Lonchura striata: one gene and its partners. The protein of the gene in region 3 interacts with the protein of the main gene of each other region in a pairwise test. Links are inferred from orthologs where the notes say so. Each region holds a gene or a part of one and is shown on either strand. Other genes may lie near its edges.

Region 1 (7,731 bases), on a different chromosome or scaffold from region 3:
CCCAATTACTTCATTCAACATTCCAAAATCAGGAATCTCTCCGGGGAGACCTGGTGAAGCCAGGTCATTCCTTTTTAGCAGCTAATGGAAACAACTTCATGTCAAGGAGTGCCACAAAAGAATGACAACTATAAGGAAATGGGGGAAAATAATGTAATCAAATAATTCAGGGGTTACTGAGCTGATCTGCAATTACTTGAGAGATCTGGGGGGAAAAAATAAAGAAAAGATAAAGGAGCAGCATAAGGAAAAAAACACAATTTCTCCCTACAATGCACAGCAGTACGATCTTGGTCTCCTAAAGTCCTTAAATGTTTGGATTGCTGAATCAAGCAAACATTTACAAGTCTTTATACTAATTAATTTGAAAAATAGGAAAAACCCATAATTATACTCACTTCAAACAGCAACAGAAACTAGTCTTGGGTGTCATATAAATAATAAATAAATTCATTAACTCAAGAGTACAAGTCACCAGGAAGTAACTAAGTATAAAAACACTTATGGTATAACATATTCTAAAACTGTCAGGGATTAACACAAAGTGATAAAAAGGAACAATCAGTTTTTGAGTTTTCTTTTCTAACTTCAGCTCCAAAAAGGCATTTTCTTAGGAAAAAAGTCACCTTATAAAGACTATTTCTGTTTTAGTCTCTCCATCTGTAAGAGGTACAAGAAAATCGGCACACTCCCAATTTATATTTTTTATTTTGTTTCTTCCACAGATCTCCAGTGGCAAAAAATAACAAGTCTTAGTGCCAATACAAATCTGAGACAAAACTGGAACTATGGTAAGAAAACTACTACAGACATAAATAAAACCAGACTGCAGTAGTGACACTATTCCTCCAGCTTTAGAAACTTGAACTGAAATAATCTCATTCACGTTCCAAGGCTGCCAAAACCACAATTTTTTGCACATCCCAAATGGAAAGAAAACAATCAACCAACCAAACCCCCAACTTACACACTATGTGGAGATACTGGACACACATCAAGCAACAACCTTTAATATTCTGATTTTTTAGGTTGGTGCCTCTTTCCTACACAGGCCAAACCACTGAGTCCAAGTGCAGCAGATGAGGCCAATGCTTGGGTGAGTGTAATGTACACACCAGCTTGTAAAACTACTTTTAAATATCCGTGACTCGCAGCATAATTGTTTCCCTCTCCACTAAGTACAGCGTTTGTAGGATTGTATTACAGCCCTACCTATAAAATGCAGCCCTTTATTAGGGACAAATTAGACAGCCCTCAGTAACTTAATAACATAATAACCCATGACCACAACACTGCAGGTTTCTGCATCCCATCCTGCTTTATTGATGCAAATGAGACTCCTGACTGCAGCTGGATTAGCCACGTGTTTTAAATAAAGCATGTACATGTTTTGTAAGACCTGTGTCAGAAAAAGGAAGAAACATCAAAATGCAGTGCTACTCTGAACATGTGAGCTGCTTCAGGAGTCCAGCTGGGAGGACACATACTTTAGGTGAGTCATGTGTGTTCTTATCCACAGAGTGAGAAACCCCAGGATAAGGGGGGACAGGGCTGGGGACTGCTCGGGCAGGTGAATGCCACACAAGCACTTCAAGAGGTGAGATCTCCACAAGAGCACAGCCAAGGACACGTCCTCTTCCTCATCCTCAAACACCTGAGGGATCAATGCGTGGCAGAACAAGGCCCCCTGTCCAACCACAGCAGGCTGGTACCATGGAATCACAGACGGGTTTGGGTTGGAAGGGACCCTGAAGTTCATCTTCTTCCACACCCCTGCCAACACAGGCACGCTGAGCCACTGGGGACACCGGGCGCTAAGGACTGAGGCAATCCGTGACACAAGAGAACACAGCTTTAAGTTTTGCCAAGGTAGGTTTAGGTTGGACATTAGGAATAAATTGTTCATGGAACGGGTGATAAGACATTGGAAGGGGCTGCCCAGGGAGGTTTGGAGACTCCATCCCTGGAGGTGGCACTCAGTGCTCTGGGCTGGGTGACAAGGTGGGGACTGAGCACAGGTTGGACTCGGTGATCTCAGAGCTCTTTCCCAACCTCAGTGATTCAGTGATTGAGACACCGGGGAATGAGGAAATTAGCGATGACAGCACCTGTGCCAGGGGAGGTTTGGGACCGCCATTATAAACAATTCCTCCACAGAAAGAGCGGTCAGACATTGGAAGGGTCTGCCCAGGGCGGCGGCAGAGTCCCCGTCCCTGAGGCGTTTAAGGCAAGGCTGGACGTGGCACGGAGTGCCGGGGGCGGTGATCGGTAACAGGCTGTGCTGGGGATCCCGGGCTGTTTCCCGGGCTCTGTCGCCGCGATGTTTCTGTCACTGTCACGCTGCCGTGACGGCGATGTTTCTATGGCAGCGACACTTGTGTGACCGCGATGTTTCCGCGCCCGCCGCTGAGGCACCCGCGGCTGAGGGGCCGCCGCCGGGCCCGGCGCGCACGCGCAGAGCGGCCCCGCCCGGCGCACGCGCGCGGGCGCTCCCCTGGCGCGCGCGGAGCGGCTGCGCGCGCACGCGCAGTTCCCCCGGCGGCTCCCGGCGCGTGCCCGCCGCCCCCCCCCCCCCGCTCGGGGCCGCGCCGGGGGTGGGGGCGGGGGGAGCAGCGGCGCCTGCGCGCGCCGGGCGCGTCCGCGCGCGCGAGCCCGCGCCGGCCTCCCCCCACCCCCGCCGCCGGGCCCGGGGGGAGGGGGGGCATCGCCGGCATCATCATCACCACCATCATCACCATCATCATCACCACCATCATCATCATCATCTTCCTCCTCCTCCCCTCCTCCCGCCGCGCCCCTCCCGCTCGGGGGCCCCGCCGCGCTCCCCCACCCAGGGTGGGAGGGGGGGGAGCTCCCCCGCGCTTACCGTGCAGCGCGGGGCCGGCGCGGGGGCTCCGGGCTCGGCCGGGCTCGGCTGGGTCGGTCCCGGCGTCACACAATGAAATCAGCGGCCCCGATCATTAATTCTCATCATGATCGTGACGTGCGCGCAGACAGCGGCCAATGGCGCGCTGCGATCAGCGCGGCCCGCGCGGCGCCCGCCCCCGCCGCCCGCCGGGGGGGCGCGCACGGGAGCGCGGGCAGCGCCGGCCGACGCCGCGGCCCGGCCGCAGAGCCGGCCCGGAGCCTTCGGCGGGCCGGCCGGGACGGAGTCCGCTGTAAATGACCCCGGGAGGGTGGTGCCGGGCTCTGCCCGGGGACAGCGCAAGGAGCAGCGCCCGTCAACTACAGCAGAAGTTCCGCCACAGCACGGGGAAGAGCTCCGTTCCGTGAGGGCGTGGAGCTTCCCTCTCTGGAGGCACCCCAAAGCCACCTGGACACCTTCCTGTGTCACCTGGTGACCCCGCCTTGGTCAGGGTGATCTCCCTTCCAACCCATCCACCCAGCGATTCTGTGGGTGCCCATCCCTGTGACCCCACTGCATTCTGCAGCCTGGGCTCACAAGGAGGTTGTGCCCAGCGAAGCCCAAAAAGCTCTGTGAAGGACCAAGGGCTTCCATTTGCATCAATATTACGGCACTCAATGAATAAACCTTTTCTTTCCCAGGATGGATACATTTGGTCTGGGAAGGGAGGAAAAGCCGATGTGTCCAGGTGGGCATTGCAGGAGCTGGTGACAGCACAAGCCGCCCTCACTCACCCCTGTGTCCTTATGGGGACCCAGGAGCAGCCAGGTGCCTCAGTGCCAGCCCTCCTCCGGGCTCCATTTCCCTTCCAAAAGGAAACCTCCTCAACAAAGGAGCAGGAGGCACACTGCTGACCCATCCTGATGGATTGTGTGGTGGAAATCATGGAAAATCACCGTTTATTGGCTTGGCTGTCAGAACACTGAGAAGTCAGACTCAGATTTGAGACCTGTGTTCATTGCAAAGCCTCCAGACAGGCCATATCCCTACTCCAAGTAGTTTCCTCTGAAAGTCACGATGTTAAAATATTAAACAGGCAATTAATTTTGTATGATGCTTTAATTAGAAATACCAGTAAATATTTCTGCAGGACTGAAATAAAACAATTGCTGCTGGTTCTCTGTAGGCAGGGAGTAGACAAGCAGACAGTGTTTATGTTTATTTTAAAATTGCAAGAAGTTGTTTACATTGTTTAAAAATTTTAACACGGATTCTGAACTAGTGGTGGTGTCCCTTTGGGGAATTGGGAACAGATGATCTTTAAGGTCTTTCCTTCTGAAACCATTCTATAATTCTATGGTGTAGTAAACATCCTGGATTTAGTAACGGAACTTTAGAGAGAGCCCCTATATTTAAACCCTAAATCTTCTGTTGTGCTGCTTTGTCTCCTGGATATGTTCCCTTCCTCTGTGTACCATCAACACTCGCCCTGTAAAACTTAAATACAGCAACCATAAAACCTCTACTCCACCACTTTTATAGAAAATAATTGGTTTGGAATTAGCTATGGAAGGATTCCTAAGAAACTTGGTTTGTTTTCTTCTTCATGTTATCTGCAGCTTGGGAAACAAAAATGGTGAGACAGTCTCTCTAACATCCCTTGAAAAATACAGTGGTGTCTGATAAAATGCAGCTTATTAAACTCCTTTAAAATGGTGAATAATAGAAAGTAATATTTCAAGGGTTCTAATTTGACTAACAATGGGCTTAAGGTGCTTTTTCTATAGTTTTCATCAAAAAACTCATAGAATCGTTCTTGAAGGAGACATGAGATGTGTATTTAAGTTGTCAAAGAAACCAGTTTGCAGACTTGTGGCCCCAAAAGAAGATTTGTTGATCACAGTAATGTTCTTTACAATAGAAGAGGCTGAATGTGCAAGTTAACAAAGCTGCTGCTGTTTGCAGCAGAAGAGTGACAAGCTCCAGAAAGAATCTCGTGTTATATATTTCCTTTCCTGGTAATGCCTCTTAAGGAGCCAAACCTTGAGGAAGAAAACACTATGTCAGGATGAAATAAACCAAATATTCTTCTCCTGCCACCAGATCTAAATGCTTCCTCCTTCATTAATGACAGATTTAAATTAACAGGGGCTGGCAGGTTGATCTGGGACATGAAAGGAGTCCTTCCATGGGGGAATAAGCATCAAAGTGAGGCTGTGCTGCAGCTCCTCGGTACGAGCTCATTAAAGTGAGGAGCCCAGCTCACCACTAGTGACTTACCCCGGTGTGGTTCTAGGGGCAGGGAAAGCCCTGGGGCCAGGGCTGGGGGTGGGCATTTCCTGCCGCAGCTGGGAACATCTGCATCGGCTCCCTGGATGGGAAACGATTCCACCCTCAGGAACCCAGCTGCAGGATCACACAAAGGTTCCAAGACCTTTCCCTGTTCCAGCAGCTCGCAGGTTCTCAGACTTTCAGCAGATCGTGCAGGTGAGAGGAAACTCTGTAGGGATTGCTCGGAATTCCTGGGCAAGGACTTGGGAGCTGGTGTGGGACAGCTTTGGTCACACAGTTTAGAGCAACAGCTGCTATTTCCATTTCTCTGGCTCTTTTTGGAGTCTGGAAAACACTGAGGAAGCCACAGGGGCAAACCCACCCCACTCCACAGAACCCTTTCTCAGGACAGCTTTCCTTGCTTCAGGATGCCATTGTTTAGGGGATATTTTAAAGGATGTAGCTCTAAGCCAGACCTTGGGCTCACCTATAAAGTCAGAGGGAGTGAAAACAGGGTGGAAAAGAGCTCATTTTCACCTGGAAATTTTGTTCTCCACCCCACTGAGAAATTTGGCTCTGATGCTGCTCCAAGGCATGAAATCATGGGGCTGCATTGCATCAGCCAAAAAGGAACCTGGATTGAATCTGTCCCTTGTCCCCAAAGTGTCCAACTGGTGCTTGGGAAAATGTATGGAAAATCCAATGTGGAAAAACTTGGAGTTGATCTGGTGCTTGACCAAGCTCCTTTTGGGAACTTCTTGCTATCATTCATCCCGAATCTTTGATAAGTTCAACCTTCAGAAGAGATTTATTAAACTTCAGGTTCAAGAGTGGCCACAGGAAAACCCTGCTGCTCCTTTCATTTTGTTGGACAAGTGTATCAGCAGTTCCCTGAGGAGCTCCTCAGGCAGTTCTGAGGCTTTGTCCCCTCCAAGAATGTGTCTGACCATTCCAAAAACCTTGCTAAAACCAAGATATGTAATATTTACTGCTTCGTGTCTCTGCAAGGCTCCTTATTCTGCCACAAAGTTTGAATTGATTTATTATTTTAAATAACAATTATTATTTATAATTATTTATTATAATTTATAAAAATATTATATATTATTATTACTTATAATTATTGATGATTTTAAATATTCATTTGGTTCATTCCACCAAAATATGCATGTCCTTCTTTTCCTATCAATACCATTGGATTTGCAGGGGAAAAGTTGCTCTAAAAAGCAAGTTCTTGGTTTAAGTTCCTGCTCTTTCCCAGGTTTTCTGCTCAATGAACACCCAAACGACAACAGCGATGCTCAGTTTACAGAAATATTAAAAAGACACACTAAATATTGGGAGTACAAGGGTGCAATTAAAAATCTACTAAATCAGGAGGTTCCGTGTGAAATAGTGATGAAGAAAGGATTACAGTGTGTAAACCTTAGGAAAAATGTTAATATGGAAAATTCCATGCAGCACATTTTCTGCATCTAAAAGCCCAGCCAGAATTAGTGGTCTTACAAGATTTACAAATTTTCTGTCTTCTTTGAACTTGGTTTTGCCATATTAATTAAAATTATGTGTTAATCCTTACCCAGTGCATAAACAAAGCTCCCATAAACTGAATCTGTAAGTATGTCCTTTGTGCTGGTATGGAAAAAACAGCTGGTGCTTATGGGAAAAAAATGGAAAAGAGCCTGGCTGGGTAGATATTTTAAGGATTTGTTCCACTTTTTATCTTATTGGGATATTTTTAAGAAAATCGGAGATGCTGCTTCCTTGCATTTTTATTGCCTTTGATAATTTTTCGTACACCAAGCAGGAAAACTTATGAACTCGAGGAACATATAAAAATGCAATAAACCAAAAATTTATCCAAAGAGGGAGATAAATATTGTATATTTATTTTTCACCCATTAGTATTCCTAGCATAGGGAGTTTTATAATACAAAGAGAAAATTAAAAATATTTTTAAAATAAAAATGAAAACAAAACCAGGCATGAGAAAGCAAAGAACCAGGAAGAGAACTATCATTTAAAAAAAATATCTATACAGCCCCTCATTTTGTCATTTATCTTCCCTCTACAAACCTAATTGAATTGGTGAAATGATTCACCTAAATGTGAAGCCCAAACAATTCTTATTTCCCATGACTTTTTTAGAAAAGCAGCCAAGAAAATGTTGAGTTGGAATCTTCAAAGCGTTTATTAGTTTAGGCAGCACTTTGCTTTTCTTTGACTTGTATTTCTCCAGAGGTTAAGATGGTTTTTCCATGTGCTCAGCTCTCCCAAAATCAAACCTTCCTCTGCTCCTTCTCTTCTACCTGTGGGTGCACATTTACTCCATCTCCACCAAAGCTTGTGCCTGTCCCTCTTGCTACCAATCCTTATTTTTCTCTTGTACCCTTGACTGGGCTGAAAGAGCCTGAAAAGTGGTTTGTTGTTTTTTTTTTTTTTTTTCCTTTTAATGTAGTGGTTGTCCCTAATCCTTTGGAATAAAAATAACCATCACCCAACAGTTCCTTCAAGTGTTTCTCCTTGCTTCTCTTACCTTGTTTGATTTAGCCAAGCTCATTTTTCTCTCAGTCACAGCAAGCCAAACTAAAGGAAAGGTTTAAATGTAGGTTTAG
Region 2 (6,983 bases), on a different chromosome or scaffold from region 3:
ACTGACATTACTCAAACTTCTGACTTTGCATCAATAACATTATGACAACATAAGTGCTCAAAATCCATAGCAATGACTCATAAATTGACTTCCATCAAAATAAAATTTAAATTCAAGCTGAACCAAAGCCTTGGAAAATCCAAACACTACTCCTTGAGAAGGTGAAACAAAAGAATAATTCACAAATCTATGTCTGTAGCACAGTATGCTATATCGTCTACCTTTCCAGTGCAGTTTTGAGAGCTTTAATCAGAGTTGGCTAACTGCTTCACCCACTGAAAGGAGAGGTAAAGTACTTTTCAATTTCAACAGAAGCAGAGATCAGTTTAAGGAATAGTAAATCCAGCTCAGGAGATGCTTTCATGGAAGTAGTTATTAGACACTGGCACTTTGCATGCAGTGTAGCAAGCACTATCACAAAGGAGAAGACTGAAAGACAAGGCACTCAACCTTCTATTTTTCCACTGGACACATCTCACCTCTGCAACAGCTACCAGACACCACAGAAATCAAACATGAACCATAACCCCCTCCTCTAGGACTGTGCATTCCAAGACTGTGAGTGCCTGCCCTCATCCCAAATATGAATATGGATAACCAATACTCTCACCATGTTCCCCTCAACAATTTCCTTGGCACAATTCCAGGGAAAAATTTACTTCCTCCCAGGGCTGAGCAACAACATGGCCACCCAAAGTGTCTACCTACCCTTTGAGCTCTATTCTCCCCTATCAGCCCTTCCATCTATGCATGGCCATGGTTTCTGGAGCATCATCTTTCAGTGGCACCACAGTAAAATACTCAGAAGTATTGGCATCACACATGATGAGCCAGTCTGGGTGCACAGGACTGTGATGGAGAGGGGGAAGGAACAGGCACCAAAAGCTATAGGGATGCTTCACCTGAGCCTCACTGACTCCTGAGGTTTTTGTGTGTCACAACTGCTTGTGAGAAAGACAAAACCTTATACAGGTGCAAGCCACCATGATTTTCTAAATAGAGCACACATGCATAGGAAGTGCTACAGTTTTTGTACAGTTATCTTGCTCTAGTTTGCAGAACAGAGCACAGCAATAAATTCTCATTGAAAAGGAAAACCACATAGAGATTTAACTAGGCAAGAAATAATAACTGAGAGTTTGAAATTACGCTTGGAATAATAGGTACATTAAGAATTCCAACTGCAATAAAGGAAGACAATGTGCTTTCAAAACTGGGGCTAAAAATAAGCTTTTCTCTCAATTTATATAGAACATCTTCCCCACCCTCCATGTCTCCCAGCATCTCAGAACTCACTCACTACTGAGAATAATAAATATATCAAATTAGCATCCACTGTTTTGATAATTTGTATCCATTTCTTCACAGTAGTATTCTTGAAGTACCACAGGGGTCTTCATTCCAAACTGCAAGTAGTCTGAAAATATCACATTTTTCTAAGGTCCTGGTTTTCAGCCAAGGAAAACTAGAAAAGTTCACACAAGCTGAAGGTTCTTAGTTCTTGAGCATCATCAGAATGATACAGCATAAACAAACAAGGTAAATGATAGCTAAAGATCTTCCACAGCACTCAAGGCAACCAGGCCCCAAATATGATTGAGTTTCTCAGAGCTAGTCTAATGAAATCTACTAATTACTTATTACTTGCATCACTATAATTCCTAGGAAGATTAGTCACAGAAAGGAATGCCTTTGTGCAAGGGACTGTACAAACACAGAGCAGAGCACAGTCACTGATACTGCTGCAAATGCCACCAAGAGAGCAGCCATTATCAGTGGACAGGATGATGTATATCCTAGTGTAGTTACCATTCTTGCCAGCCTGCCAGAGAAACCTTCTCAAGTTTATTATGTTAATAATAATAGATTGTTAAGATCTCATAAGCTTCCTCTCTACTAGAACCTTAAATATCAGAGTGGTGCTACTGCAAGTGGTTGCACCAAATGAATAGCATGAGCTTTCCAGGAGCAAACTTATTCTCAGCAGGGCTAGCTACAGCCTTCAGACAAGGTGCTTGAAAAACCCAATATAGATCAGTCAGCACAGAGTACCTGAATCTGAGCAAGCTTTCTGACATGCCATCAGTAGCCACAGCATCCTTACCTATCAAACAAAGGTTTCTGCAAGCCTTTCGTGCACCTTTTACTCTCAATGCTGCCTTGTTCACTTTGCCTCTAGTGACTTGGAACTTTCCAGGAGTGCAGGCACAACTGCTAATGCTGCCGTGTCAGCAGTGGTGATATCTTCAGTCCATGCAGGACATAGAAAACCACCAACAACGTCCCCAGAGGCAGAGGTATAGGGCCACGGACACCTGCCCTGACTTGGTGCCCCTGCTACGACCACTCCTCGTGCAGGAGGCCACCATAGGTTGCCCGGTTGATGGCCCGGGGAACAACTAACGCCACCCTTATCACTACCACGGCTCATCCCACAGATCTCGCAATCAAAGCATGAGCAGGATGAACTGGGGCCAAAAGCGAACAAGGGAGGAAGGCACAGCTAAAAGTTAATTAATTTAGTCTTTTAAGAGGCTGGAGTTGCTAGCAATGTACAGGCCGGCAGATGAAGAGAGCTGTCACCTCACCAAGCACGACACGTCTGGTCTCTTGCGGACGGGGACAGTCCCTGGATGAGAGGAAGCCCCGGGCGGGACACTGCCCGGCACCAGAGCCGCGAGCCTCCGCGCGGCAGCTCCGCGGGATGCACATCACTCCGGCCGGTACCCCCGGCCGCTCCCGGCTTCCCGCCCGCGCCGCTCCGCAGCCTCCCTCCGCGGGTACCTATCTCCGGTTATTCACCAGCGGGATGACAAATCTCCCGGGCGTGCGTCTGTCCCGTCTTTCCAGACAGAGCTGCGTCCCCATCTCGGCGGCGGACCGGCCGGCGAGGTGAGTAACCGCGAACTGACGGCACCACAAGAGCGTTTGTTTTGCTTTCCCTTCTCCTCCGCCCTCCCCGCGCTGACACGGAGGCCGTGAGCCGCCGACTCACCCTGTCCCCGCCGGGGCCGGCGGCGCGGGGCCGGGAGCAGCTCGGCGAGCGGGGCAGCGCAGGGGCCGCGCCGCGCCGCACGCCCCCGGGCGCGGGCACGCTCGGCGGGGCGCGGCGCCGCCGCGGGGCTCAGCGCTCCGCTCCCGCCTACCCCGCGGCAGCCGCGGCCCCCGCCGAGCGCGGCAGCCCGTGCCCGCTGTCATGTGCCCGCCCTTAACCCTTCCCGCGGCCGCGCCCGCCCCGCCGCCCGGGAGGAGCGGTCCCGGGGGGCACAGCTGGGCAGGGGGACACAGCTGGGCAGGGGGACACAGCTGAGCAGGGGGACACAGCTGCGCAGGGGGACACAGCTGGGCAGAGGGACACAGCTGGGCAGGGGGACAGCTAGGCAGGGGGACACAGCTGGGCAAGGGGGACACAGCTGGGCAGGGGGACACAGCTGGGCAGGGGGACGCAGCTGGGCAGGGGGACACAGCTGTGCAGGAGGGCACAGCTGTGCAGGGGGACACAGCTGGGCAGGGGGACACAGCTAGGCAGGGGGACACAGCTGGGCAGGGGACACAGCTGGGCAGGGGGACAGCTAGGCAGGGGGACACAGCTGGGCAGAGGGACACAGCTAGGCAGGGGGACACAGCTGCGCAGGGGGACACAGCTGGGCAGGGGGACACAGCTGGGCAGAGGGACACAGCTAGGCAGGGGGACACAGCGAGGCAGAGGGACACAGCTGGGCAGAGGGGCACAGCTGGGCAGGGGGACACAGCTAGGCAGGGGAACGCAGCTGGGCAGGAGGACAAAGCTGGGCAGGGGGACACAGCTGGGCAGAGGGACACAGCTGGGCAAGGAGACACAGCTGGGCAGGGGGACACAGCTGGGCAGGGGGACACAGCTAGGCAGGAGGACACATCTGGGCAGAGGGACACAGCTGGGCAGGGGGACACAGCTGGGCAAGGGGACACAGCTAGGCAGGGGGACACAGCTGGGCAGGGGGACGCAGCTGGGCAAGGGGACACAGCTGGGCAGGGGGACACAGCTGGGCAGGGGGACGCAGCTGGGCAGGAGGACACAGGTAGGCAGGTGGACGCAGCTGGGCAGGGGGACACAGCTGGGCAGGGGGACACAGGTAGGCAGGTGGACGCAGCTGGGCAGGAGGACACAGCTGCGCAGGGGGACACAGCTGGGCAGGGGGACACAGCTAGGCAGGGGGACACAGCTGGGCAGGAGGACACAGCTGCGCAGGGGGACACAGCTGGGCAGGGGGACACAGCTAGGCAGGGGGACACAGCTGGGCAGAGGGACACAGCTGGGCAGAGGGACACAGCTAGGCAGGGGGACACAGCTGGGCAGGGGGACACAGCTGCACAGGGGGACACAGCTGGGCAGAGGGACACAGCTGTGCAGGGGGACACATCTGGGCAGAGGGACACAGCTGGGCAGGGGGACACAGCTGTGCAGGGGGACACAGCTGGGCAGAGGGACACAGCTGTGCAGGGGGACACAGCTGGGCAGGGGTACACAGCTAGGCAGGGGGACACAGCTGGGCAGGAGGACACAGCTGGGCAGGGGGACACAGCTGGGCAGGGGGGCACAGCTGGGCAGAGGGACACAGCTGTGCAGGGGGACACAGCTGTGCAGGGGGACACAGCTGGGCAGAGGGACACAGCTGTGCAGGGGGACACAGCTGGGCAGGGGGACACAGCTGGGCAGAGGCGGGGGGAGCAGGGGTCTGGCAGGAGGTACAGGGGGCTTGATGGGGTGGTCCTGTAGGGGCTGGAATAAGCCGAGGGGGAGGCTTAGGGGTAGGGGCGGGCTGCACAGACGCTGGAGGGGATGAGGGAACGGAGGGGTGCGCTGGAAGCCAGAGGTGTTCGCGGTAGGGGAGGCGGGGGTGATTTTGTGTCTGTGTGTAACGGAACCGGGGGAGCTGCGGTACCGCACCAATTCTGGCAGAGGAAGAAGCAGTAGGGACTGCAGGGTCCCTGGAGGATAGTCTTTGGGCTACATGCTACGGGCTTTATGGGGAATGCGTGGGGAGTTGCACGGACGGAGGCTGTAAGGGGGCCTGGATGTGACCTGTGTGTGACGTGTACGAGAAAACCTAGTGCTACGGCAGGGTAGCAGGTAAAACAGAGGGTTTGGGAAGTGGGAAATAGGATGAAGTGGCTTAATGTCTGCTGGCATTTTTCCACCAGGCATAGAAAGCTGTGATATGCATGCAAGAGCCCTTCTCAATTAGGAGGAAATCTGACTTGGAAAGACCACAGGACTAGCGTTGTGATAAAGCTGGAAGTATCCACTCAGAGCAAAAACACAGGGATCCTATGGCCCCAGGCTGATGATCAGCTCTCGCAGCAACAGTTGCAGCCAAGAGGTAATTGCCATTAAGAGCCCCCATTGCTCTCGAAAAGACTGCTGCACATGCAGGATATGTCCCAGCTACTGAAACATATTGGTTCTTTCAGTTTGGGTCCACCTTATTCCCCTCTGGTGTAATTGGAAAATTGAGAATATAAATGAACTGAAGCTAGAGGTGAATAAAGCAGCTGAAAAGCCAGACTCAGAGAGCAGCAAATTACTCAATCGCTCTACCAGCATGAGCATGCAGACCTCATGGTAGGGCATCCTATCAGCCAGCGAATCTCCAAACAAGGGAGCCCACTGACATGGCTGGGCAACTGAAGAGTGCAGCAGGTGCACTCTGTCATGCCAAGCATGACCAACCCTGCATTTAAAACAACTTTAAATCCCAGTTCTCCAAGAATAAGAATGGCACTGTGGCAGTCCTGATTGCTTCTTGCAAGGTGACGGGAAGCCTGTATCCCTATCCTGCTGCAAGAGCTGTTAGGAGGAGAGTTGAGGGAGGGGGATATATTTTGGTATGTCCACATCACTGGGCTCTGCTAGGTCAGCCTGGATCCTTAGCTGAAGAAACTCTTCCAAGCTAAAGGTCCTTCGTCATTCATTCATACTACATCCAGTTAATGTGACTGAATTTCATAAGTTGGTACTGTGTTCTTTACATGCCCAGAAAACCCAGCAGAGATATTGAGCCTTCAATCTTTCTTTTAAAGTTTCATGGCTTTCCAGTGTTTTGGGATTTTTTTCTAAGTGTATGGACACTTAGAAATTGAGAAACTTGTAAATAAATTTACTATTCATAGCACACTTAAAGCAGAAATATTTGTAAAATGTGTCTCACTTTAAAAATCATAGTAAAAGAACCGACAACTGAAAGGGTCTTTTCCACATGAAAGCACAGAATTTATTTGTGAGCTCAATGAGCTTTTTGTTTACTGTCTCTTTACTCCTGCTATATGCCAGAATTTTCTATGCAATTATCATTTAATTGGAAGTCTTCACTAAAAAGTTCAAAGATTATCCAAAAACTAACCATGATAGCCATGGTAATGTATGCAAATGAGTAACACAGACAGCAAAAAAGGTTTATACTGACAAAGTGCTCATTTTAATTCAAATCTAGCAAATAAATGGTGAGTTTGTGTTAAATAAATTGCTTTAAATAGCCCTGACAATACCAAAAGCCAATTCTAATCACCATTTTAAAAATCTTTTTCCCTTATCAAGTTATTTCTATGTATGTGAAGTAAATTTTCTCAATTTTTTCATATGAAAAGAAGTGATGGATCCTATCACCTTGAGAAACATGTGGTCTAAAACATAAGATACAGGCAGCCTTTATATACAGGATAAGAACTTTTGTTGTCATGGATGAAGCCTGATTAGAAGTCCTGAGCATAAAGTAAGGAAGACAATCAGAACCTCAAATTAACAAAGTTAGCATTAGAAACTGTAACTCATATCCAAAGACAATGCTTAATTTTTGATGTGCTGAAATAGCAGCAAAGCTTATGTAAAATAAGGCAGGTAAGACTAATAAGTGCATTAAAAGTAAGTGCATCCAAAGTTTTCTTAGTGAGTGACACAACTGCATGTTCATAACTGTCATACACTGTTGCATATTCATATCCATCAG
Region 3 (7,634 bases):
CACAATCTACATATCAGTACATGCACTCACACAAAGAGCTGGAAGCGTTGGAGGATTTTATTAGGAAGAGCCCAACTTCAAAGCCAGAGGTACAGTACAAATTTGTTACATTCTCTATTCATGGAGCTCATTCAGGAGCAGGAAGGACCGCCTCAGGGGAAACCCTGTATTTGCATCTGCACCAAGAATCTTCTTTTGACTGATGTTAAGAGCACTCCGAAGTTTGTGTGGAAGGCGAAACACAAAACGCAGAGAGGAAAGAGACCCACAATGGAAAGTCATTGGAAAACTCCACTCCTAATTCATCCACCTAGAAAAGTCCTTAGTGTATTGTTTGTAGTCACTTCCCAGAAGCTGACAATAGCATTGCTCTTCACAGCTACCTTTTGAGAACCTTTCAGAAATAGTGTGTGATTCCCAAAAGGCTGCGGACCACAGCTCACTGCACAGGTTTTTGTAAGTATGGCCTAAATTTAAGACAGGTGATAAAAACCCAGTAGTCAAGGCCGAATTATACTTATTTCAAAACCCATCACAAAAAAAGAATAAATTTTATTTTTTTCACCAGCAATTCTATGCAACAAGATATTTAAATTTGAGATACTCTACCACATTTTATAATAAAAGTGGATATTGGATATCAACAGACAAACTCCATCTTGGTGCATGGCCTTCACAAAAATAGACAGAAACGCTTCCAAGAAGTTCTGATTGGATCCCAAGACTTCTCCCAACATGGCTAAACCCCTTTATGCAACAGGCATGGAGTTCTGCAGATTCTCCAATGTTCCACAGTTAGGATCTGCTCTGATCTGCAAGCCAAAGACTACAACTTCAGCTCCCTGAACAAAAAAAACCAAATCGCTGTTAACTGTAGAGAAACTGATACATATAATTAAAAGCTGATTAGTGATACAATATTTCTCCTAAGGCAGAGAATTTAATTCAGCCATTTCCTCTTCTAATGTAAACCAGCTAATAGCTGGCAGCCCAGGCAGAGTAGGACAGATTAGCAGAGAGTTGTGGCAGGAGTCGTTCTACTTAAGAGAACTTAACAAAATCAAGCTCCAAGTTTTCACCCAACAACAGGAGAGAAAGAACTTCTGGTGTCCATAGAGGTTTTACCTCACACAAGCATTTCCTGCACAGGACAGCAGTAGGAAGCTCACCTCTACAACAGAAACTCTCAGCTCTCACTGCTGGCTGAGCTAACAGCTGGAGGAACCACTAAGTGGAAAATGCCAGGATAAACAGGCCTTCACATTACTTCTTACTTGCAACCTGCCATCACTGCCAGCAACAATTCTTTTAGCGTTTGAGCTCCAACTGCAGCAAAACCCTAATCAATCCCTTAAGCAACAAGGTTTCTTCCCAAACAAGGGCCTTTGCCATTCTTCACTACAGACCTAAATTTCCCTCAGCCTCCAAAAATCTTATGTCAATACAGTCAGTATGTTTTAAGCTGTTGATAGAAAAGAAGTGCTAACGTGACTGGAAACTCTTCATGAGTATCTAAGATTAGACATAGGTGTAAAAACAGACTGATCAGACCACCACCAAAGTACTGATGTGCACAATGACTAAGAAATTATTTATATTTTGAAGTCTCAAATTTGCAATATCTTAGCCCACTGTGTCATTTTAATACAATACTCCCCTAGACAATAAGGGCTAACAAACTTCTTGCTAGAATCACTTGAAAAACAACACTTCTGTGGACAAAAACAGCAATAGCTTTGTCTGTCAGAGCAGCATACAGGGAGGATGTTATTCTGCTGTTGCTCAGGTCTCTAATTAGATAAAGACATACAGGTTGAAATGAGCTGTAACTAAAGAAGTTGAGCATTTACTAGTTTTTTTTTCAAGTACTAGGGTAGGGACAGGCCAATGTGACATAAAGAAAACATTCAGGGGTGACTTGATCATGTTCCTTAGCCCCAGAAGAAGGGGCTGCGCAGCTAAGCGATCCAGTTAAGCAAAAAGCAAAAGGAACTCCTCTTCACACGGGATTAGACACTAGACACTTATCTTGATAGCTAAACATCCAAGAACTTCCTTCATGCCACTCTCCCACATAAACAACTGCTGTTCCTGGTGTCAGACACTGTGTCAGCAGAGACACTGAACAGCAGATTCACATTCTGTGATAACACATAGCTACGTAAGGCCAAGAGAAGCTGGCAGTGCCCCGTATGGGCAGGGCTGTATGGGTACACAGGGATGTGCCCGGCCTGCAGGCTGCAACAGCGGGTTCGCTCCGGTCCGTGCCGCCGCACTCGAGCCCCAGGCCCCTGGCCAGAAGACAGAGCCCGGCACTCCTGACCGGGGGGGAAACTCCAGACCCTCCCTCACCTTCTGCGGGAACACCTCCACTGAGTAACACGCACGCCCTTTTCATAAGACCTGCCCCAGATGGGGCCTTCATCAGCAACCCCTCAGGCGTGGACCCTCCAAATCACCCCAGAAACCCCAATACACTCTCCTGTCCTCAGGGCACACCTCTCCAGACCCTTCTATTACCAGCACATTCTCTCCAGGAGCCCCCTCCAAACACACACCTAGGCAACCAACTGCACCCCCAATCCCCCCATCCGCAGACCCGCTGCATGTCCCCAAAACTCCCGCAAATCACCCCTGACACAGAACGCAACCCCCAGTCCCTGCCCTTGCCACAACCCTCCCCAGCCCCTCCAGCTTACCCCGTGCGACGGCCCCAGCCCCAGTGCTTCTCCCAACCCTCTCCCACTCCCACTCCTCCTCCCAAACCCTCTCCTATCCCACACAAGGCGCCGGCCCCGCGGCTCCCCCCGGCTCCACGCAAGACCCCGGCCCCATCCAGGCCGCCTCACCAGTACTTGAGGATGGCGGTGACCTGGAGCGGGTTGGGCTGGTCGGGATAGAGGCGGCGGCACTCGCCGTAGATACCGTGCAACCCCGGCGGGAACAGCGACGGGAAGGACCCGGACCCCGAGCCGGACCCCGGCCCGCCCGCGGGGGGCCCCCCGCCCGGCCGCACGCCCTCCATGTCCCGGAGGCGGCTGGTCCCGGCCCGTCCCGGTTGGTGCCGAACCCGCTCCGCTCCCGCCAGGCGCTCCCGGCCCGGCCCTGCCCGGCCCAAGCGGCTGCGTGGGGCCGCGGGAGGAGGGGCGGGGCCTACTGCCGGGCCGCGTGAGTGACAGACCGCCTCCGCCAATGGCGGCGCTGCGCGGGGCTTCGCGCAGAGGAGGTGGGGCCCCGCTGCAAGGGCGGCGTTGAGTGACAGGACGGACTGACCAATGGGAGCTCGCCGCCCGGAGGGCGGCCGCGTCTCTGCCCCGCCCCTCGCTGCGGGTCGGGCGCGCCCCCTAGCGGCGGCGCGGGGCTGGGCGGTGGGCGGGGCGGCGGCCGCGCGCGGCGGTGGCGGGAACGCGGAGCGGGTCCGGGGGAGCGGGAGCTCCGCGCCCGGCGGGCCCGGGAGCACAGCGGGGCTCTGACTGCTGCCTTTACACCCCCGCCAATGCAGGGCCCTTGGAGGCAGCTGGAAGCTGCCAGTGCGTGAAGTCTGGGGCTCTGCGATCGCGGATTCTGGCTTGTGCACAAGCGCACTGACGGTCTGGCTCATTCCCGAGCTGCAGCTACAGCTGTGGAGGTGCAAAGCCGGGTATGTACATGTGGATGGTGTGTGCGCAGTAGTTTACACACCTTTGCTAGAGCAGGGTCCTGCTTGTTAATCAGGAAATAGAAAAAAAAAGAGCTATAGAGTGCTCAGCAGAGATGGTGGGCGCCCTGCTCGCATTTCTCACTTAAATAGGTGAGAGTTTATTCTAAAAACTTTCACAACACCATTTGGGGGAACACACATGGTGAAGAAGCTGACAGCCAAATGACAATCCTCTGATAAAGGAGGTGAGCAGTTGGTGTCCTCACTTTCCACAGTGAAAAATATTTCACTTGTCCTGTTACCATGATACTACTTTTTGTGTCATCTGCCTGAGTAGTCAGCTGCAGTCAGCTGAGAAGGTGAGTGTAACAGAGTATGTAGAAAGGCTGCGTTGGAAACACCCATAGTGAGTGTCTCCTGCCATTCACTGAAGTGATACAACACTGTCTTTCATCTAAACCCCTCAATCCTGCTGTATAAAAACTCCCTCTTTTAGACTAGGTGAATGGGGAAGGTCGCTAAATGTAAACATCTGGGATGAAACTTATCTACTGGAGCTAAAGGCAGGAACTACAGGAGAAAAGTCCATGTCTGCAGGAGAGATGTGGGACAAGACAGGTGAGTCAAGCCTTCAGGTTTGCTCAGTGGCATGAAAATCCATTTTAATTAGTTTCAAGATCCAGAGTTTCAGTGATCGATTATTCCAAGTGCTTTTAGAATACTTAGTCAATGGAAATGACAGTGTGTTCATTGTTCAATACTGAAATGATCATGATGTGTATTCTTTATACTGACACCTCTTTTGTGGTTCTTGTACCTCAAAAATGGAGAGAAACTGGTGTTTCGTGGAGGGAACAGATGACTTATGACCAGTAGTTCATAAAGATGATCACATGAAATTATGGGACAATAAAACACTTTCCGTAGTCATAGATACCCTCTACAGAAGTTGATATAATCACCTTTTTCTCCTTTCCTATTAGAAAAAATTAAGAGGGGAGAATCTATTAAGCGGAAGCCAGCCAGTTGCGGTGCAGCGTTTCCGGTGGAAGCACCCAGCTATCTCCTGGACCGCAACATTCTCCGGTGTCTAGGCCGTGGATGTGTCCGCAGGATTCCCTTTTTCCGCACTCCGCCTCCCGGCACGCCCCGCTCCCGATGCCGGCCTACAGTTCCCGGCATGGCCCGCTCCCAGCGCCGGCCTACAGTTCCCGGCATGGCTCGCTCCCGGTGCCGGCCTACAGCTCCCGGCGTGCTCCGCTCCCGGCGCGCCTCCCCGCTTGACTCTGCGCAGCGTCGGACTATAACTCCCGGCAGGCGCCGCGGCGGCAGGAATACATCACCCAGGCGGCGCCGCGTCGCCGCTCCGCGCATGCGCCGCCGAGGGCTGGGCTGTTGCTCCCTCACGGGCGGCTGCGGCGGGTCCTCGCCATGGAATCCTACGATGTGATAGCGAACCAGCCCGTCGTGATAGACAACGTGAGTGCGGGCGGCCGCGCGTCCCGGGAGCGGGGAGGGCCCGCAATCCCTTTGTCATCGGGGCGGCCGCTCCCCGCCCGCCGCCCCCCCCCCCCCACCTCGGCCGGCTCGGCCGCCGCCTCCGGCCCTCGCACGGCGCCATACGGCGTCCTCGGGGGGCGGGGCCGCTGCGCCTCGGCGAGTCGCGATTGGCTGGGGCGAGTGGCAGTCAGCCACGGCGGGGCCGCTGCCCCGCGCTGGGGGGCGCAGCCCCCGCCGCCGCTGAGCTGCCGCTGGTTGGGAGGGGCGGCGCGCCCCCATTGGCTGAGACAGCTGTCAGTCAGCGGCGCAGCCCGCTGCTGCCTGCCGGAGCGGGGCGGGACTGTCGCCAGAGCACCCGCGCTCATTGGCAGCTGGCGCTGTCAGTCGGGCGGGGCTTCCCCGGCCCCGCCCACCCCTCTTTGTGCCGGGGGGACAATGGGGGTGCTGGGCCAGGCCGTGGCCACACTGCCAGCGTGCTGTGGGGCAGGCCTTGGCCAGGGCTCCAGTGTGCTCCTGCTAGGCCGTGCTTGGACCCCAGCAAGCTCTGGGGGTGCTGGCGCTTCCCTGGCCCCGTGCAGGATATGATGCTCTGCAGCCAGGCACCCCTCGCAGGCCCAGCGAGGGAGAAGCCTTGACCTCTTGTGCCCCCTCATCCAGTGCATCCAGCACAGTGGTCACAACAAGGCAGTGCCCCTCACAACAAGGGAATGCCACTGCTGAAGGATCTGTTCCCAGGGTTACATCAGCGCAGTGTGGTGTTGCAGATGGCTGCTCCAGTATTGCTGATGGTGCTCATTAGCACAAAGCAGACCTTCAGTCTGTGTATGTAATAGCTCTGCAGGAGATGAATGACAGTGATTCTGTGCCTCTTTGAGGTACTTCTGGGTCCAGTTCTGATTTGCCCCATCCATGCTGCCCTCCCAGGAGGAAGGACCATCCAGGAAGGAATGGGAGGGCATGTCTTGGATAGAGCCTCCTTCAGTGTAATGAGTCACAAACTCGTGCTCCTCCCTTCTGACCTCTATCGCCAGTGATTGATATTCTGTTGTTTTGAAGGGTCAGTGCTGTGCTCCATTTTTCTTCCACAAGCTTAATTTCTCCCGATTTTTTTTTTTCCATATGAATTGGGTTTCCTGCCCTGGCAGTTCTCAGCCTATTGCTTTAACTCTCCATGCAGTGAATGATTGTAGGTCTTCTCAGATAACGGCAATTATTCTTCTGACTTTTTCTGTATTGTGGATCCCAAATTCCTCTCTCTGATACAGTTTTGGCTTTATTTCCCTGGAATCTTACAGATGAAGGATTTTAGTTAGACATGGAAGGAAAGCATCTAATAGAAAAGGATAGTAAGGAGTGAAATTGACTGTGTTGAGAAAAACATGTATGTCCTTTACTGAATATGTTAAAAAATGCATTAAGTTGATTGTTTTTAGGAATGCCTGTATCAGCACTGATCCTGCTGCATTGTTGAGTGATTAGCTAAACATTAAAGTTATCTCTAGGTATTCTGGAGCTGTGAGGATCACTTAGTTGAGCTATTAGTGCAGGAGCAGCCTATATTTAATTTCAGCATGTCCTTTTGTTATTTAGTGCAATGATTGCTGCCTCTGCCTCAGACCTGAAGAAGGCCTCATGTGCCAGCAGCTGATTCTGTGTCTTTTTCATTTTATCAGCTGGTCTTATAAAAGCTAATTCTTGTTCTTGCCTCTCCAATAAACGAGCTTCCCCCTTCCCCTCCCTTTACAAGAAGGAGAATGGAGCAGTTGTTGTGGCATCTGCCTGTAACGCTGGCAGGCTCTGGGCCAAGGAGACTCGTGGTGACACTGCATTTTTGCTACTCTTTGGAGTTCAGGCAGGATGGGAAGTGGAGCTGCACAGAGCAGGTACCACTTCTCACTGCTGTCTCATTACTGCTTTTCTGCAGAGAACTGAAGAAGGCTGAATGTTATCCTGTCTCACATGTGCCTGTGTGTGGAAAGGGGGAGGTGAGATACTGAGCTGGTGAGAGCCAGACCCCTCCAGTCCCAGCCCTGCTCTAGAATTAAAGTGTGTTCCAAAAGGACATGAAGTTCTGTAGCTAAAAAATTAACAGGGACGTTTATTTCTCTTACCACAAATTGCTCTTAGCTGTATGCTTTCAGCAGGGAGAGCTTTGTAATGTACAGTGGGAAGCTGGAGCTGTACCTCAGCACAACTTTTTACTCTTGATTGTCTAATTTTTAAGAGTTGTATTCCCATCTGCAGTCCAACAAGTTCTCTCTGAACGGTCTGGGAGCCCTGCTGAACATAATGCACATGTCAGTAGTCCAGCTGTGGCCTAAGTCAGTGCAAATTCCTTGACCTCCATAGAACTTGGAATTATCTCTGGTTTGCTTTGTAGTCTTTAGTGGTGGCATTTTATGCAGCTGAGCTGTCATCAAGGGCTCTTGTCTTTGGTTTGTTCTTGATCTTAAAAATTCTTTATCTAATAAAACAGTGTTACAACAATATGAAA

The links. The genes of interacting proteins can lie anywhere in the genome.
Region 1: the proteins of SUFU (region 3) and HDX interact in binary tests that used the Homo sapiens proteins (3 or more experiments, as listed by UniProt). The link is inferred for Lonchura striata from reciprocal best matches to the Homo sapiens genes SUFU and HDX.
Region 2: the proteins of SUFU (region 3) and GLIS3 interact in binary tests that used the Homo sapiens proteins (3 or more experiments, as listed by UniProt). The link is inferred for Lonchura striata from reciprocal best matches to the Homo sapiens genes SUFU and GLIS3.

Annotation. Positions count from the first base shown.
Region 1 is NC_134616.1:4,436,550-4,444,280, reverse strand, and holds the start of HDX (highly divergent homeobox), read right to left. Parts: upstream 3,060-7,731; 5' UTR 2,867-3,059; intron 1-2,866.
Region 2 is NC_134642.1:16,924,526-16,931,508, forward strand, and holds the start of GLIS3 (zinc finger protein GLIS3), read right to left. Parts: upstream 3,060-6,983; 5' UTR 2,996-3,059; intron 1-2,995. UniProt on the Homo sapiens protein: Acts both as a repressor and an activator of transcription. Binds to the consensus sequence 5'-GACCACCCAC-3'.
Region 3 is NC_134609.1:20,015,040-20,022,673, reverse strand, and holds the start of SUFU (suppressor of fused homolog), read right to left. Parts: upstream 3,086-7,634; 5' UTR 3,026-3,085; coding exon 2,850-3,025; intron 1-2,849. Other genes in the region: ACTR1A (alpha-centractin), read left to right, coding at 5,072-5,119. UniProt on the Homo sapiens protein: Negative regulator in the hedgehog/smoothened signaling pathway. Down-regulates GLI1-mediated transactivation of target genes. Down-regulates GLI2-mediated transactivation of target genes. Part of a corepressor complex that acts on DNA-bound GLI1.